Linked DNA regions of Drosophila melanogaster. The protein of the gene in region 3 interacts with the protein of the main gene of each other region in a pairwise test. Each region holds a gene or a part of one and is shown on either strand. Other genes may lie near its edges.

What was found.
Region 1: the proteins of Kots (region 3) and Pdk1 interact in a two-hybrid assay, tested with the Drosophila melanogaster proteins (one large-scale study listed by BioGRID).
Region 2: the proteins of Kots (region 3) and Ccp84Af interact in a two-hybrid assay, tested with the Drosophila melanogaster proteins (one large-scale study listed by BioGRID).
Region 4: the proteins of Kots (region 3) and CG9547 interact in a two-hybrid assay, tested with the Drosophila melanogaster proteins (one large-scale study listed by BioGRID).

The regions. Positions count from the first base shown.
Region 1 is NT_037436.4:127,559-132,485, forward strand, and holds the start of Pdk1 (Phosphoinositide-dependent kinase 1), read left to right. Parts: upstream 1-1,891; 5' UTR 1,892-2,264; coding exon 2,265-2,330; intron 2,331-3,171; exon of another isoform or gene 3,172-4,013; intron 4,014-4,253; exon of another isoform or gene 4,254-4,927.
Region 2 is NT_033777.3:6,689,044-6,692,012, reverse strand, and holds Ccp84Af (Ccp84Af), read left to right. Parts: upstream 1-1,773; 5' UTR 1,774-1,826; coding exon 1,827-1,838; intron 1,839-1,896; coding exon 1,897-2,340; 3' UTR 2,341-2,411; downstream 2,412-2,969. Other genes in the region: Ccp84Ae, read left to right, coding at 310-321, 440-1,054.
Region 3 is NT_033777.3:13,960,212-13,965,855, forward strand, and holds Kots (kotsubu), read right to left. Parts: upstream 3,964-5,644; 5' UTR 3,664-3,963; coding exon 3,521-3,663; intron 3,437-3,520; coding exon 2,005-3,436; intron 1,940-2,004; coding exon 1,185-1,939; intron 1,125-1,184; coding exon 928-1,124; intron 867-927; coding exon 715-866; 3' UTR 501-714; downstream 1-500. Other genes in the region: Ipp (inositol polyphosphate 1-phosphatase), read left to right, coding at 1-122; Orc2 (origin recognition complex subunit 2), read left to right, coding at 4,797-5,370, 5,439-5,644.
Region 4 is NT_033779.5:6,492,415-6,496,129, reverse strand, and holds CG9547 (uncharacterized protein), read left to right. Parts: upstream 1-1,597; 5' UTR 1,598-1,691; coding exon 1,692-2,157; intron 2,158-2,275; coding exon 2,276-3,069; 3' UTR 3,070-3,156; downstream 3,157-3,715. Other genes in the region: CG31638 (uncharacterized protein), read right to left, coding at 65-73, 262-886, 1,026-1,192, 3,274-3,610, 3,667-3,715.

The DNA.
Region 1 (4,927 bases), on a different chromosome or scaffold from region 3:
GCTCCGAGGGTTCCGAACCGGTTCGTCTGCCAAGCTTAGCTTCCAAGCGGGGGGAAGTCCAGCAATTAGAAAGAAACTGGTGCACAGCCCACCGTTGATGACTAAATCAGCTGGGATTTCGTGAAATTAGCTTTTTATACTAAGCGCTTGGCTGAAAATATATGCAAATGGGATTTTAAAAATATTTTTCAGGCGACATTGTGTCTCGCCGAACCTCGATTGCTGCCCATTAAAAATGCTAATTTCAAATATTTTTTAGCAGAAAGCAAGAAATAAATTAGCCACAAAATGCTAAAAGCAGAGGCCAAATAAAAACGATTTTAACTAAGCCACCGAACTCGCTAAGGGTGAGACAAATTAAATTGAATTTGATTATTATATAAAATAAAATAGGTAAGAAGAAAATTCGCGACCATTTCTAAAATATGCAGTCAAAGTTCATTCGATGAAGACGAATTGTAATTTTCATAGATTTATTTGAGCCTAAACGCCGTTCAGTTTGAATGAGTGCTTATCACAAGTACACAAAAACTAAAGAAATATTACTTATATTGCTAATTGATAAGGTCTTTGAATATTAAATGTGTTTATTAAACTGTGTTATTTAAACTACGCAGCAATTCACAAGTAAGTCTTTAAACAAATTAAGCTAGGAAATTTAAATAATACATAAATGGAAACTCAACCAAATATAGAAAATAACAGGAATAGAACTAATATTTACAATATTTCTTAACAAGATAAAAAACCATAACAGGAACAGAACTAATATTTACAATATTTCTTAAAGAGAAAAAAAAACAAAGTGAGAGAAAAACTTGATGACGAAAGCGTCGGCATCCACGTCAGCAAAGCCAAAGCAACTGCAGTTTCCGCTTCCCCTTAATTTTGTTTTGTTTTCGCTTCGTAGTAAAACGTAAAAACGAGAATAAAACCGTGAGCGGGAGCGGGAGCAGCAAGTGAATTTTTTCACGCTGGGTGGAAAAGGCGCGCGAACGTGACGGAACGCCGGAAAGTTGTGGAACAGGCGATGTGAATGAATTGTGGAACGCGTTTGTGTAGAAGGCCTTACACTTATGCTAATGTGGAACCCAGAGTGCGGATCAACGAACGATCCGTGCGCGAAGAGAGCGGGAATAGTTTAAATTCCAGAAAATGCACATTTGTACACATACATACATACATAATTGCCTTGGAAGTTTACGACAGCGACGTTGTCCACAATTTCATTTTATAGATGGGGGCGTGGCACTGATGCATGATCTTGATGGAATTATGTACCTATGTATGTATGTATGTAAATGTAAGCAAGATTCGTTGCAGTAACAACAAATAAGTGGATGAAAACAAGTGCGTCACTTACTCATTAATAAATAAATAATTAATGGGCGGCGCATTCGAAATGTAAAAGAAAACGCAAATAGCTTGCCCACTCGCGGCAATAACGGAACCGTGACTTGCAAATCGGTGAAATGAATAGGATATGCATAACTGTTTTTTCGAAAGACCTGCAAATAATTCAAGAAAGTTCCAGAAATACCCAAATTTAATAGCTATCCAACATTAGGGTGACAATAACGTGTTTCAACAGATGCAATATATACGCAAAATCAAAGAAAAACAAACAAAACCCGTTAAAAACTAATTATTTAAAAAAGAATACAAAAATATAAATTTAAAGCTAACTTAATAAAAAATAACATAATTTTCCCATTATTCATGTGTCGATTAAAACTCAAATGAAAATTCTTACACTTCTCCGCACTCTTTTTTACCCCATAACTCTCTATCTCTCTTCCAGTTCTCCGCGCTCACGATTTGGTAACTGTGGCCCAATGCCGCCGTTCCCAGTTTAGCGCGCTCTCCTTGCCTTTTCTTTCGCCTTTTCGACTCATTTCGAATCGGAAATTTGACGGGTTCGGTCGTAATCACGGATACAAATTTGACGCCCTGTTGGAAAAACCACAACGTCCAATTTTCCTTTTATCGCGCCAAAAAGAAATGCGAGTAAGACCCGAGTCTTCGTGTATACGTATAATTACCATTTGCAATCACAAAGGTTTTGCAACTGTCGCCGGGCGGTGAAAACTCAAGTGAATAAATATCGCAAAGTGAAGCAAATAAAAAAATATTACAAAAACCGGTAAAACGAAATGAAACTGAAATGAGTGAGGGCAGCAACTTCAAGTGACGAAAGCAATCCGTTTACCGTTGTCTTTGCCTCTTCATCCTCCCCGAGAACGGCGGAGAACGCGAAAAATATCATGAAATGTAAAAGCTGGTCCAACAAAATTAACAACTACGTTGTGCGCAAAATAAAGTCTATCAAGGTAAATAGTGTCTTAAAAAGGTGCGGTGTTTGGCCCTGATACATATATACTTATATTTATTTAAATTTTGATTAAGTGAATATATCTTATGAGGCTTATGAGACTTGTTAAGGTGTTAAAAAATAAGTTTATAGCATAGATATGGGGTAATGCGAAAGTACAATTTGTTAAAGTTGTTTTTAATTAAAATAATTTAGTAAAACTTTTTTTACAAACTACAAGTAATGCTTTCGAGAAAATACCTCCCATCAATTTTATCGTTAAATTACACAAAATTGTTCTTGGAAAAAAAAATTGAATTGGTTGTACAAATTTTTGTTTACAAAATACAAAAGCTGCAAAATAATTTATTGACATGAAATAATGAAATACTCATAAAGCTGTGAAATTTAATGTTTGAGCTATATAGCAAAAAAAAAAAGTATTTTTACTTTTTGCAATTCTTGTTACCAATAAATTTAAATATTTCCGTACATTTCATCTAAAAAATTTCCATTGACAACACATGCTGGTATAATATATAAAGATCAAAGCCATAAACTCCTCACTAAGTGGGCAATAAAATAAGATAATTCAACGACTGTCTGTATAACAACCACTTTAAAAGCTATCTAGATGGAGTTGATTATGAATACATTTTCAGATGCTTATATTACTCGACATAAATAGGCAGTGGATGTGTATAATTATTTTGCAGGCACCCGACAACGAAAATAAAATGCATAAAAAAGTTTAATGAAGCCGCAGGGGTTGACTAAATTTATTTAACAACTGCAGTTCATTGCCTCGCAAATTGCTTGATACTTTAAAAACAACAACAAAAATTCACAGCAAAAAAACACAATGATTCCAGCTGGTTTCTAAACAACAATTTATTGTGGTTTCTTTTACTTTTAATTGCTATCTATTAGCAGCAACCAATAAATGAATTATTTATTTTATTTTCTCTTGCAAGCAGCCAAAAGTAAAATTATGCCCCTCTCTCTCCCGATCCGAGTTCATCACTTTGTCTTCTTTTAGCTGTTTTTATTTTGCAAATAACTTGAGTAGTGGATGGGAAACAACGCAAAGGCCTTTCACTTGCATGTCTGTTGCTCGGTTTGTTGTCATTAGGTTTACTGTTGTTGTTGCACACACTCATCCGCTTACATACCTCGTTTATATACTTATTTACATTTGAAGTTGCCGTCGTTGGTATGTTTTACTACGTATCAGCTTGTCCGCTTTGAGCTGCCCCTTCGCTTTTCAAGCATTTTGTTTTGTCCGCTCTGTTTTTCAGCTATTCCAATTCTCTTCCTTCGTTGCCCTGTGTATGTATTCGTAATCGGGTTCGGATTCTTGTTTATTTTTACACCACTTCTCTTTCTCTTTCGCACGAAAATTCCTCGAATTCTTTTTTATCCATATTTTCCTTTTCCAGCGGGAAAAACGAGTTTTTCCAGCAGCGCCGCATTCTTAGCCTGTCGCCTTGTCTCTTTCCCACTTTTATAGTGTCTCCGCTTCTTGCTTGTTTACAGTTAGGAATGCGGTCGTCTCCCCTCTCTCTCTCTCTCTCTCTCTCTCTCTCACTCTCTCTCTTCAAAAAGAGCGTGCGCTCTCTTTGGCCTTATGTAGTTGTGTGGATTTCGACTGAAACTTGTTTTCGCTTTGCCCCGTCGTGTTTATTTATAAAAAGTCACTGGCAAACAATTACAGTGCAACAATTACGCTCTCAAAAGTGGCGCGCAACTTGTTCGCCTTGTAAAAAAAATTGTGACGCCAGCGGCGACACGACTGCGCTGCTTTGGCCCCATTTAACTGAGAGCGCCGAGGGTTAGCTTGGCGGGGGCGGCAACGCCAAAGAGAGTTCTCTCGGGTGGCGCTCGTCTCCCATCGGTTTCGCTGCTCGAGCCAAATGCTTGGAAGTCAAAGTCTCGCCCGACCATAGTTTCTTATTGGATTTCAAACCAGTCGCTTCGTGCACGCGGCGTTCGACTACGCACACACACACACCCATAGCGCGCTGGCATTGATATACATACACAGGCAAATACACGACGCCCCAAGTTCGTGTGATGTAGTGCTGTAGTGGTGCGATTAAATAATACTCCACAAAAGGCCAAATAAATTACATAAAATCTAAATCGGAATAAAAATAAGTGTATTCTCCCTCCGTGTTGTGTTCAAAGTATTTAACCGATTGTTTTCATTAGTCAAATTAATGTAGTACAACGTATGAGTGTGAGCCAGTTCCTAGAAAAATAAGAGGGCATAAAAAATAACAGACACATACAGCGTCTCGTTTCTTATAAATTTTCCTACTGCGTCGGAATTATTGTCTTGATTATTGTTGTTTCTGGCGAACTTTTGTGATTTGTTTCGAGAAACATACTGCGGCGGTTTCATAATTGTGCAAATCAAGGGAAGCACAATACGAATGTTAAGAATCAAAGCTAAGAATTAAATAAAATTAAAGCCGCACACATACATATACACAGGCACGCGCAGAGTCGAAAAAATACGCGCGCTCGCTCTGTACAGTGTGTGCGTGTACGCGGTGGCTGGCTCTTCTTCTTCATTCGTGTGCCCATTGGAATTTGTACCCCAAATCGAAATTA
Region 2 (2,969 bases), 7.3 Mb from region 3:
AAAAGAAAAACAACAAAATTGAATAAGAAGACTCCAAGTTTAAGGAAAATAGTAATTAAAATTGGCTTGGCGTAATCAATTAAGTGCAGCTGGTTATTTCGACCGATCGAAATTGGCAGAACTGAAGAAGGTGCGTGACAATTTTTACATGCCACCGGCGCCGCTCGAGGTGATGCGCCAAAAATGAATTCCAATTAGGTGTCATCAATGTCACCAAGTAGCGTATAAAATAAACGGCCCACAATGGGTCAGACATTCAGTGTTTGGCTTCGGCTCAAGACAGCAGTTAATCAAATTCATCCAACTACAATGGCAGCAAAGGTTTGTGCTACCAATTGGAGGATAAACGTTCCGGGGGACTACTAGTGGATTACCAGACTGCCTTCGCCTTTTTATCTTGGAAAAAAAAATCCTAAAAAGAGTGTAATTTATTCCGCAGATTGTTATCGCTTTGGCTCTGTTCGCCGTGGCCCATGGCGCCGTCCTTAGAACTGCTGCTCCAGTGGCAGTGGCTTCTGCTCCGGTGCCAGTTTTGGCCAAGACCGTTGAGTTGGAGGAGGTTGATCCGCATCCTCAGTACACCTACAGCTACGACGTGCAGGACACGCTTTCCGGCGACAACAAGGGGCATGTGGAGGAGCGCGATGGTGACGTGGTCCGCGGCGAGTACTCCCTGATCGACGCCGATGGCTTTAAGCGCACCGTGACCTATACCGCCGATTCCATTAACGGATTCAACGCCGTCGTCCGCCGTGAACCCCTTGCCGCTGTTGTGGCCGCCGAGCCGTTGCTGAAGGTTGCTGCCCCATTGGTCAAGGCCGCTCCAGTCGCCCCCATCGCCCCTGTCGCCTTGGCCGCACCAGCTCCCATTGTGCGCTCCGCTCCAGTGGCCGTCGCTGCTCCTCTGATCAAGTCCGCTCCCCTAGCAGTTGCCGCTCCGTTCGTCCGCTCCGCCCCTCTGGCGGTGGCTGCTCCCGCTCCCGTTCTGCGTACCGCTGCCTATGCCACGCCTCTGCGGTACACCGCCCCTGCGTACACCGTCGCCCAATTGTAAACACCCATGCGACCGCTGTTATTTTGAACCCTTGTTTTGTTTCTATGATAATAAAATGTGATTTGATATGTTAATTTGAATTGTGGTTTTATTTGGGCTTAGAAATTAAGTTATATTTTTACCAACTCAATTGAAATTCAGTTCAAGCATATTTCAAAGCTTTCTTAATTGTTCCCATGATTTGACTAGTATCCGTAAAAACTCTTATTTAATCCATCAGTTTGCTTTTAAGCAGACTAACTTATTCTTGATTCTTGAAGTGTGCATTGAAATATATTTATTATTATCGTCTAATGTGCTTTTCAATTCAAAGTATGTAATCAGTGTAGGTCAGTTCCAAGCGTTTTGAGCTGCCCGGTAACATGATATACCACTCAAGGCAGAATGGTGAAAGCATTTAATTCGCAATAGGCACCAAAATCCGAGGGTCTCTCCCAAGACACTAAGCCGCACTAGATTTGGATGCGGATTGCATAAAAGTATCTCTGGCCCCCGGCGTGGGCAGTTGTAAGTGCCCATATTCCAGTCGATAAAGTAATAAGGTAAATAGCATAGCGGTAATACAATAATAAATGTATAAAATAAAAAGTGACAAAAATGATTTGCCCAACAGCGAATTAATCAGTTTCAATTCGTTATTCGCATTTTGCTTTGCACACGTTCAGTGGGTATAAAAAGCAAAGCTCGTGTTCCAGTAAATCATTCCACAGCTTCACCGTCTTCGCAGCAGTTAACGGATAACCACCACCAGCCCTCCTCCAAGTCCAGAGCCATGGCCTTCAAGGTGGGTAATCCTTACATGAATATCCGATCCTTTCAATTACCCCTCTTTTCTCCCACAGTTCTTCGCTGTTCTCGCCCTCATCTCGGCCGCCAGTGCCGGAGTTCTTCCCGTCCAGCAGGTGTATCACGCCGCCCCCGCCGTGGCCACCTACGCCCAAGCACCTGTCGCCGTTGCCCACGCCCAGCCGGTTCTGACCAAGGCCACCGAGGAATACGATCCCCATCCCCAGTACAAGTTCGCCTACGATGTCCAGGACTCCCTTTCCGGAGACTCGAAGAGTCAGGTTGAGGAGCGTGATGGCGACGTGGTCCATGGCGAGTACTCCCTGATCGATTCCGATGGCTACAAGCGCATTGTCCAGTACACCTCCGACCCGGTCAACGGTTTCAACGCCGTCGTCAACCGCGTTCCCCTGGATCACGTGAAGACCGTGGTGAAGACCGTGGCTCCTGTGGCCGTGGCTGCTGCCCCTATCCCAGTGGCCTACCACCAGCACCACTGAGGAACTCTCCTACTGATTTGTTGAATCCGTTTGTAGATCAAATAAATTGTTGAATATTTGTAAGCTGAAAGAAATCGAAACGCATTTTTCTTTACGTCTTGTAAGGGATCTCGCTCATTAGCAGGCATTAGTCAATCAAAATATTATACATATATTTATATATTGTATTGTTAAAGTAAATTCGTAATATTGAAAAAATCTAAGAATTACAAGTTACACAAAAGCACCCAGTAAGCAACTTAGATGACCATCAAGTGGGAGCCCGCCTGGTACCAACGAAAAACGTCACTGGAGCTGCTTACTCTGCATCACCTTGGCTCCTCTTAAATCCCTCTCCAGCATATGCACTTTGTAATCAATTTTCTGCCGGTAATAAGTCATTAAGGGCCCAAATTGATCAGGCGTTCGCGTCCGACCCATTTTACACCAATCAACGAAAATTGGGGTAGACATCCGATCGGAAAGAAACGCATCGATCGGAACATTTCAATAAAACCATCTGCGTCGAAGGCTTATTGAATTTAATGCATGTAATGCGGTCCGCTCTTGAAAACCAGTTAAGGTCACTATGCTGCAGCTTTGAAGTGGCCAGAAACCTTTCGCCAAGTCCCTCGATTATTGGGGTCCAC
Region 3 (5,644 bases):
TGAAGTACCTGATTGAGGATGCTGAAGCCGATGCCGATTGGAAGCGAAACGCGGGTGGTATAATCTCTGTGCGCAATGTCGATGTTGTGGATGAGCTGCTGGCCAAATTGGCCGAGCAATGAGTGTTGTTATTATGTTATTTGTTGTAAACCCATTATTGCTGTTGTAATTGATTTGATGTAATTGCACTACGAGTCAGTCGAATTTGTAGGCATAGAAACTACTACAAGAAAATTTGCTAATAAATGAAACCGGCGAACGTGTAAAACATTCATTTAAATTAAGTAACAATCTACAAAAGGATTATAGCTGCTGTTTGGAAGTACGAATGCCACCACATCTGGGGTTAGCTAGAATTGTCCGTATCCCATAATAAAAAATAGATAACAAATAACAAGAATGGATGATATTTCTTCTCTCTTCTCTTAAGTGTAGCCTACTTATTGGAGTTTCTGTGCGGTAAAAACAAATTCTAGTCAATGAAACAAATTAAAGAAATTCTGTATGAACGATCAACATCTTTATATGGTGTCAAGTCTCTTAGTCGAATCACTCTGTGCTGGAATAAATGTAAGCGAATAATTGTCAAAATCATGTTCGAAAATACACTGTGGTCGAAACTTATATCGAATATCGAAATAATGTTTGAACATACACTTTTGGTGTACACTTAATGCTAAAGTCATATGAAGGAATGCGAGTTCTTAAGTTAAATTATGCAACTGGTGTGTTTAGAATAGTCTCCATATCCGGAATTGTAATGAGACGAGTATCGGGTTCAGGGCCTTTCTTAACTCCGCATAAGAATCGAATCTTACGCACAAGAAACTGCTCCAGAGCCGCAAAATTCTTTGATTTGTCGAAGCCTGCAACGAAGTGTTTATTAATGGTGATCCGGGCAAAAATTGAATGCGATTATGCGCATACCATTTATATAGCACTTTGTGACATTGACGGCAATTAGCAAATCCTGTGAAATCGGTTTCACGTGTCTCACGGCCACATATTCCGTATTTCCAAAATCGCAGAATAGAATTTTGACCATATTGTCCTTAACCTCCTGGCAGACTCCGCGATACCAGTTCTTATCTTCGCTGTAGATCGCCAGGCACAGTTCACCAACGCTGCAATTGGGATAAAGTGCGTGTTAAGAAAAGGACAAGCAAATATCGAAAGCGCATTACTTTGGTACGTAACCCGGAACAACATTGTGGTCACATGCTCCCTGACTTGATGTCAAGCTAAGGATTTTTTCAAATTCCTTGGCCGCCTTTTCGTCCTTGAAGTAGGCGGCGGTGATGTAGCCAGTTTGCGGCAATCCGTCAGCGTTCATAAGGATTAGGTTGACCTTGTCGCCTAAAGGAGCTAGATTCTTGGGCAAAGCGTCGAAAAGGAAGCGTTTAATGGGCAGAACGTGGGAAGCTGACTTTGTACTTGTCACGTCGGCAGGAAAAGGCGACTCCGGTGGAGAGGGCGGCAGTGGAGGCAGATCCAGCAGAAGTAGAGACTGTGGAGACACCTTCTGCTGTTTGTGAGTTACAACAGGCAATTGACTCGGAGTAGAAGCAGCCTTCGGTGGTGCAACTTCTGCTTTTTCCTGTACCGGTGTAAATATAAGAGGCAACATTTGGGTCGTCAAGGAGCGCGAATCGCCGGAGCTGAACAGCAGGTCCACGGTCGATGTAGTTGCATCTACCATGTTCAATTTTAGCAGTTCTTTTTGGGCGCAGAGCTTGTGCAGCATTTGAATGGCCGCATTGTTAACTGGCACAGCTGCATCCGGAATATTGCAGACATTCTGCAACTGTACACGCATCAGACATACGGGCAAATTCTCCAGGAAGCGACAGGAGCTGCGTATTTCCGCCAACTCCACCTTTTGGGTGGCACCAGTATCAACGTTCATTACTTCGAACAATCCACTATCCTTACTCAATATCTGTAAAATTCGAAAAGTTCATAGACTTTACTGATTGAAACCCTGCAACATAAATATCGACAAACCTCGCCCCGGAAGTGACCCATCTGCTTGGAGACAACGAGCACGATGCTGCCAACGGAAACATCACTAGATTTGGTAATGGTAGCGCACTTGTACTCCAGGCGCTTGAAAATTTCCGCATACTGCTTGGCGTCTGGAGTGCTGATGTATACCTCCTTAAAGCTGACCAAGTGGGAAATGAATACGATGGAATCATGGACGATGGGTTCACGCCAGTACTTGTGGCCTAAATATGAAATCTGACCCAAGAAAGTGATCAGACGGGCCATACATATCTGCTCGCCCTTGGAATTCAAGGCGGCATTCGCCGCGCGTAACTTTTCCTTGGGCGGCTTATTATCCAGCTTAAACTTGACCGTGAGTTCTGCACCTTGAGTCTCAAGCTCCTCGGGTACGGAGTCCTCCAGCTGAGCGGCAAACACTCGACTGGGCAGGCCAAGTAGTTCGCTGGGAATACGACTCAGATCGGTGGCTATGGACACTCTACCCTCGTCCATTTCGTAAACCAAATAGGTTGGCCTCGGTTTCATGATATGATCCAATAGGAAAGCTCGCCGATAACCATTTTTAGTGCGGGTGGCCGCAAAGAAGATGGATTTCTGCTCGGGGAAGGGCAGCGTGAATGGCTGTCTTGGCTTCTCGGCTATGCGGTTGTTTAAGTCTGCGTTGACATGGCCCATCACGTTGATCTGGAGTAGGGCCAGCTGCGGTTCGTTATGCTTTGGATTTGCCTTAAAGACCCGGATGACTTTGACTTCTGGATTAAGCTGCAGCATCTCCAAGGGCAAACTTAGTGGTATTATCATCTTGGGCTTTAGATGGACGTGATAAGCTCCGTCGCTGGTTTTGGTTCCCAACATACGGAGCGTCAAGTTCTTAATGTCCTGAACTCCAGTGTTCGTGGGCAATTGAACACGGAAAGCGAACGCCTTGCTTTCGGCCATCTTGGGCACAATGGTGTAGATATCCCGAAACGGTGTAGCTACTATCTGACCGTGGTCAATCATACGGACATTGGCTTCTTGCTTCTTTTGGCAAACCGTCAAAACATGACCGCGATGGACCTTGTCGCCCACACTGATGGCCACGAGGGTGTCCTCCCGCACTCCTTCCATACGAATCATCTTCTTATTCTGCATGCAGCGCTGCATGTTGACCGTCATTCGCTCAATGGCCTCCACATTCGCCACGTGCACCACCCAAATGGGTCCATCGTTCTCCATGAAAGTCACGCGGCACTTGAAAAACTCCATGCCCGACGGCAGCAAATGTTTGCGCCAGTTTTCCGATAGATCCGGCTTGTTCGGCACAGCAACTGTGGGCTCCACACATGGGATTGGCGATTTAGTGCGAGTTTTAGCCAGAGCAACTTGGTTCTCTACGCTCTGGATTGGATTCAACGCCGGTTGAAGAGGCCGGCACTCCACCAAGGGTCTGGAAACGCATTTGTATTGTATAAGAATTAAAAACCCCTAACTTAATGCACTGCTGCGCAACGGATTTACTAATTTAACTCACGGCATAATGATGCACACCTGCCTGTGCCTCTGCCAATCCAATTTCTGGCACTTTTCATTGCAGTACGGTTCTCCACACCGCTGGCACATCAATCTGGTCGGAGTGCCACAGACGACGCATGTCTTTTCCTCCGACTTTTCCATTTCTTCAATTCAAAGTAACAACGCAAGAACGTGTGAATGAAAGAACGGCGCGTTAAAGGAAACGCAGCAAAATGGCGCTAACAGAACTTTTAGCACGCGATGAAATACAAAGTGAAAATCTATTTACGCTGGACGAGAACTTTCTATGTTTTCGTTTTGAAAAAGGTGGAATCCTTTAGAATTTAAGTGCGCGATTCACAACTCACAAACATGCGATACGTTCACTAAACGCGTTTAAATTCGAAGCTCGCTGGGCACGCGCTTCAGTGCATTGAACGAACGTGGGAAGAAAGAGAACAGGACGATATCGATATCGGTTGGTTTTCGATTTACAGCGCACTGATGGAAGTAAACTTGATCGTTAATTAAAAAAGGAAAAATAAGGCTTACGAAGTTTTTAAACTTTAATTAAAACGACACAACATATGCTAAATATTCTACATATTCCAGTTACAATCAATTTCGCCAAGCCATTTTCATGGAAGTTGAATACTCTTTGAACCTGTTTGAATATATCTGAAAACGCAAATCTACTTTGTGTTATTATTTTGCCAATATAGGCAATATTATTTGAAAATTAACCGCAAGTCCATTGACGACCGCAATTCAGAATAAGAACGTAGCGTAATTTTCCCATCTTCAAATATTGTTTTTCCTAAACTTACCGATTTTAACACTTTTTAGTTTTAAAAACGTTTGTGGTTAATCCGCAAGGAATTTGTGACAGTGAAAAAATAACCGCTTTGTACGCGCACGTGTTGCCAACAAACACTTCAGCTTTTGTCAGTGACTGGATTCTAATTTAAATTTATCGATAACGTATGCAATTCTTATTCGAACAATATAGTTATTTCTAAAAACTGTGTCACGGAATTTCTTTTTGTAATTATTACCTATATAAATATATATTTATACAAATATTTATAACATTTGTGTTTTAATTGTCATGCCCCTTTAGTTTTTTTTACGCTAGAAACTTAGCTACTTCCTAGGTCGAGAGCTGGCCACACTCTTGGCATGTCTTAGTTATCGATAATTCCCGCCACTTCTGAGCATTGAGTATATTTTGCGAACTATTTGTTTACCAATTGAATATTTTGATAATCAGGGCCCCCAGTGAAGTGGCAAGCGTCATGAGTGCCAGCAACAAAGGCGGTTACAAGACGCCGCGGAAGGAGAACCTCATGTCCATTGAGAACCTCACCAATTCGGAGGAGGAATCCGAGGACTTGAACACGGCAATGGTTGGGAATGCAGTGGAATCTCAGCCCAAGGTCACCAGTCGGCGTTCCACCCGACGTCCAAGTCCCACCAAGAAATACCAGGCGTACCAGAAGGAAAGCAATGGAAAAGGCCAGGAAGAGCGAATTGTTGTGAACTATGTGGAAATGTCCGATGAACGGAGCAGCGATGCGGAGGATCAGGAAGAAGAAGAAAGCATCGAGGAGTCGGAAAATGCTGCCCGTCCCGCTGCCAAGGATCTGCATCTCATCCAATCCGAGTACAATGTGGCCGGCACCAGCATGTTTGGCTTCAATACGCCCAAGAAACGCGATGCCATGGCACTGGCCGCCCTAAATGCCACGCCCTGCACGCCCAAGACCCCAAAAACGCCGCGTTTGGGTGTCAAGACGCCGGATACGAAGCGCAAGAAGTCCATGGATCAGCCAAAGACTCCCGCCCATGTGCGCACCCGCGTCAAGAAGCGTGGGTAGCCTTTTTCTGCGTCCTTTTACCATTTTTTCCATTATTTATAAATTCATTATCACTTTCAGAGATTGCCAAAATAGTGGCCGACTCAGATGAGGATTTTTCTGGAGATGAAAGCGATTTCCGGCCCAGTGACGAGGAATCCTCCTCCAGCAGCAGTAGCAGCGATGCTGGCAACTCCTCTGACAACGACGCCGCCGATGATGAGCCCAAAACGCCCAGTAGAGCCCGCCGTGCCATTGTAGTCCCCGTTCTGCCGAAAACTCCATCG
Region 4 (3,715 bases), on a different chromosome or scaffold from region 3:
CTGGTTATCCTAGTCGCTGTTACCCTCCGTCTCGTCGTCCAGCAGCAAGCTTGTCGAACCATAGCTACGGAGTCTGAAATTTAAATCACAAATAGTTATTATATTTACCTAGAATTATACATTGATTAGTAAAACCAATACATGCAGTAAAAGGATTAGTGATGCTAAAACAAATCAAACCAATAATGTGATGAACACAATAACTAACAAAGCATTAGTTTACTCAAGTGATAACAATCGTTTCTGCTCCTCTAATCTCACCTCATCGTCGGACACCTTGAGACCATCTAGATTAATGCTGTTTCTCGCATATCCAGCGCCTGCAGACTGCTCCTTCTCGTACAGCTGTCGGTTTAGCTCATCCTTACTGGAAACGGAGCTGCTGCCTCCATTTGTGGTTCCCTTCAGGGGCAGCGCTAGATTCGCTCGACTGGCACTGCTGCCTGCGCTGCCATAACGTCCGTTTCCGGATCGCTGCCTCTGGTGATGATGATGGTGCTGTCCGTGAGGATTATCGAATTTCTGCTTGGCCCGCTCGAACTCCAGATTCCGTGACTTCGACTCAAATATATTCTCCTCCAGATGCGTGGGCTTGGCATCAAAAAAAGCAGCTGCTGCCGCTGCCGCCGCCGCTGCAGATGCCGCAGCACTACTCTGCTGCTGCTGCAGGAGCGTTCGTTCCGTGTGACTAGATCTCTTTACGGAAGCAGCATGATGCATAGCGGCATCGCTGCCATTGTGGGAGCTCCTCAAACCTGCCTGCGAGTCATCAAAGATCTGGCGAAGATCATTGATATTCGGCAGACAGTCGTTGGGCAGCTCCACGGCAATCTTATTCCTCAATTGCACCCCGCCCATGCCCCGCAGCTGGGGACTGGGAGCACGTCTTTTTCGTTGGGTTAAGCGTGGGTTAGGAGTTAGGTTATTAGTCAAGCCAGCACCAGTTGAAAAGTTAGTGGTTATTAGAGTTAGTCCACAGACTTAGCGGTATGCAAATCTAAATGTTTCTTTCGAACTGATCTTACCTATTCTGGAGGTGCTGAATCTGCACCTGTAATCCTTCCGTCTGACCCACCAGCTCATCGTTGGAACGCTGCAAGCGGCGCACTTGGTTAACGGCCGAATCCAGTTCGTCCTCAGCACCAGCTAACTCCCGCTTCAGCTCCTCCACACGCTGACGCAGACGCTTCACCTGCAGGAAAATAGAGAAAAGTAGTGATGTAGCTACATATGTGGATTCAGATTGGTATATTACATATTTGTTCTGAACGCATAAGATGCATCTGTACCCAAAACTCGAAGCACAAAGAGCAAGGGGGCGTGCCTTCCAGTCTTCAAACACAACTGATAAGCAGACGACCCCCGCCAAGTGGTGATAACGCTTAAAATGGAAAAATATTTCCTTCCACACTCGCTTCACTCTTGGTTTCTATCGTCAAGTGAAATATAAGCGCGATAGTGCGAAAAATTTAGAACCCGCAGATTAAGATCGGGCATAACAACAATATTAAAGCGAGGTAAACAAAGTTGGCGAAGAAGAGCGAAGAGAGCGCGCGAAGAGCGGGCAGCCAAAAGCTCTCGCTGTAGATTTAAGCTTTCTTCAGTCTCTCGCCGAACGTCGAATCGAGCAGCTGTTCCGTGGAGAACCGGCTGATCACTTCCAACAGAAAAGACAGAACCGAATCGGAATTATGATTGCGCAAAGTGTAATCAGCAAACTGCGACCGTGTGCCCGCCGCTTGGCCAGCACGAGCTCCAAAGCCGCAGCTCCCAAATTCAACTGGCAGGATCCGCTGAATTTGGAGAGCCAATTGACCGAGGAAGAGGTGGCCATTCGGGATGCGTTCCGTGGATACTGTCAGGCCGAGCTGCAGCCGCGCGTCAAGATGGCCAATCGCCTGGAGACGTTCGACAAGAAAATTATGGAGGAGATCGGCAGTCTGGGTGTCCTCGGCTGCACCATTAAGGGATACGGCTGCGCCGGAGTCTCTAGCGTTGCCTACGGCTTGCTCACCCGCGAGGTGGAGCGCGTGGACTCCGCTTATCGGTCTGCTGTCAGTGTCCAGAGCTCGCTGGCCATGGGCGCCATCTACGACTTTGGATCCGAGGAGCAGAAGCAACGCTATTTGCCCAGCATGGCGGAGGGCAAGCTGATTGGTGAGTGCCAAATGAATAAAATCATATTTTAATGAAATATTGAGTGAATTATATAAAGTCCCGTAGTTTATATGTGTTCTCTTTAAACGAATCTCAATTTCTTTACATATTTATTCAGGTGCCTTTGGCCTAACTGAACCCAACCACGGTAGTGACCCCGCTGGCATGGAGACCCGTGCCAAGTACGATAGCAAAAGCAAGACATACATCCTGAACGGATCTAAGACGTGGATTACTAGTGCGCCCATCGCAGACGTCATAGTCGTATGGGCAAAATGCGAGGATGGCAAGGTACGCGGCTTCCTGGTGGATCGCAAGATATCCGGCAAGGGTTTGGAGACGCCAAAGATCGAGGGCAAGTTCTCTCTGCGTGCTTCGCCCACGGGTATGATCCTGATGGACGAGGTCCGTGTGCCAGAGGAGCAGTTGCTACCCAATGTGGCCGGCTTTAGTGGACCCTTCAGCTGTCTGAACAACGCTCGCTATGGAATCGCGTGGGGAGCCCTGGGAGCAGCTGAAACCTGCGTGGAGATTGCTCGCCAGTATACACTGGATCGCAAACAATTCGGTCGTCCTTTGGCTGCAAATCAGTTGATCCAAAAGAAGCTGGCCGATGCCATCACAGAGATTGCGTTGGGTCTGCAGGCTTGCCTGCATGTGGGTCGCCTCAAGGATCAGAAGCTGCACACGCCCGACATGATTTCCCTTCTAAAGCGAAACAATACTGGCAAATCGCTTGATATAGCGCGCCAAATGAGGGACATGCTGGGTGCAAACGGAATCAGCGACGAATATCATGTGATCCGCCATGTAATCAACCTGGAGTCAGTTAACACCTATGAGGGCACGCACGATATACACGCGTTGATCCTGGGCCGAGCCATCACCGGACTGGCGGCATTTGCTAACTAATGTACTTGTTTCGAAAATCATAAAGTACTGCATTTACCAATTTGTTTTATGTCGAAGTGTCAATGTGAATAAATGTTAATCAAACCGAATTCGGTTCGGCGAGGAAGGCTGTTACATCTTTAAGTTTTCCTAGGCTGATAAGCTGATACGCGTAATCTGATCCATATATCATCTGATAAGATTTTTGGATGTGGATTTACTCACCTCCGCCTCATACTGCTCGGCTCGCCGCACGGCGTGTCCCAGCTCTGTGTTTGTTTCGGCCAGCAACTTCTTTAGCTTGGCGTGCGACATCTTCACCTCGCTGATCTCCTTGTTGCGCTCCGAAAGTTCCTGCTGCAATGCTCGCAGCTCCACGTCATTAGCTTGCATGGGTCGGCACTTACGGTCCGAACGTTCCTGATAATCTCGCAGTTCTGCGCGCAGTTTCTTGTTGTCACGCTCCATGGCCAATTTCTCGGACTCCAGTCGCTCGCGCTTGCCCCATTCGGAGGCGTTCTCCGCCTGAAGGTGCTCCAGTTCAGTGCGAAGCTCCGTGAGGCTGCAATGAATCGATAGTTACACTCTTGTCAAAGTACAGAATGCGTATTTGCTTACCGGCGCTCGAGATTCTCACGGGCAGCAATCTCCTCCTGCAGCGAGTTAT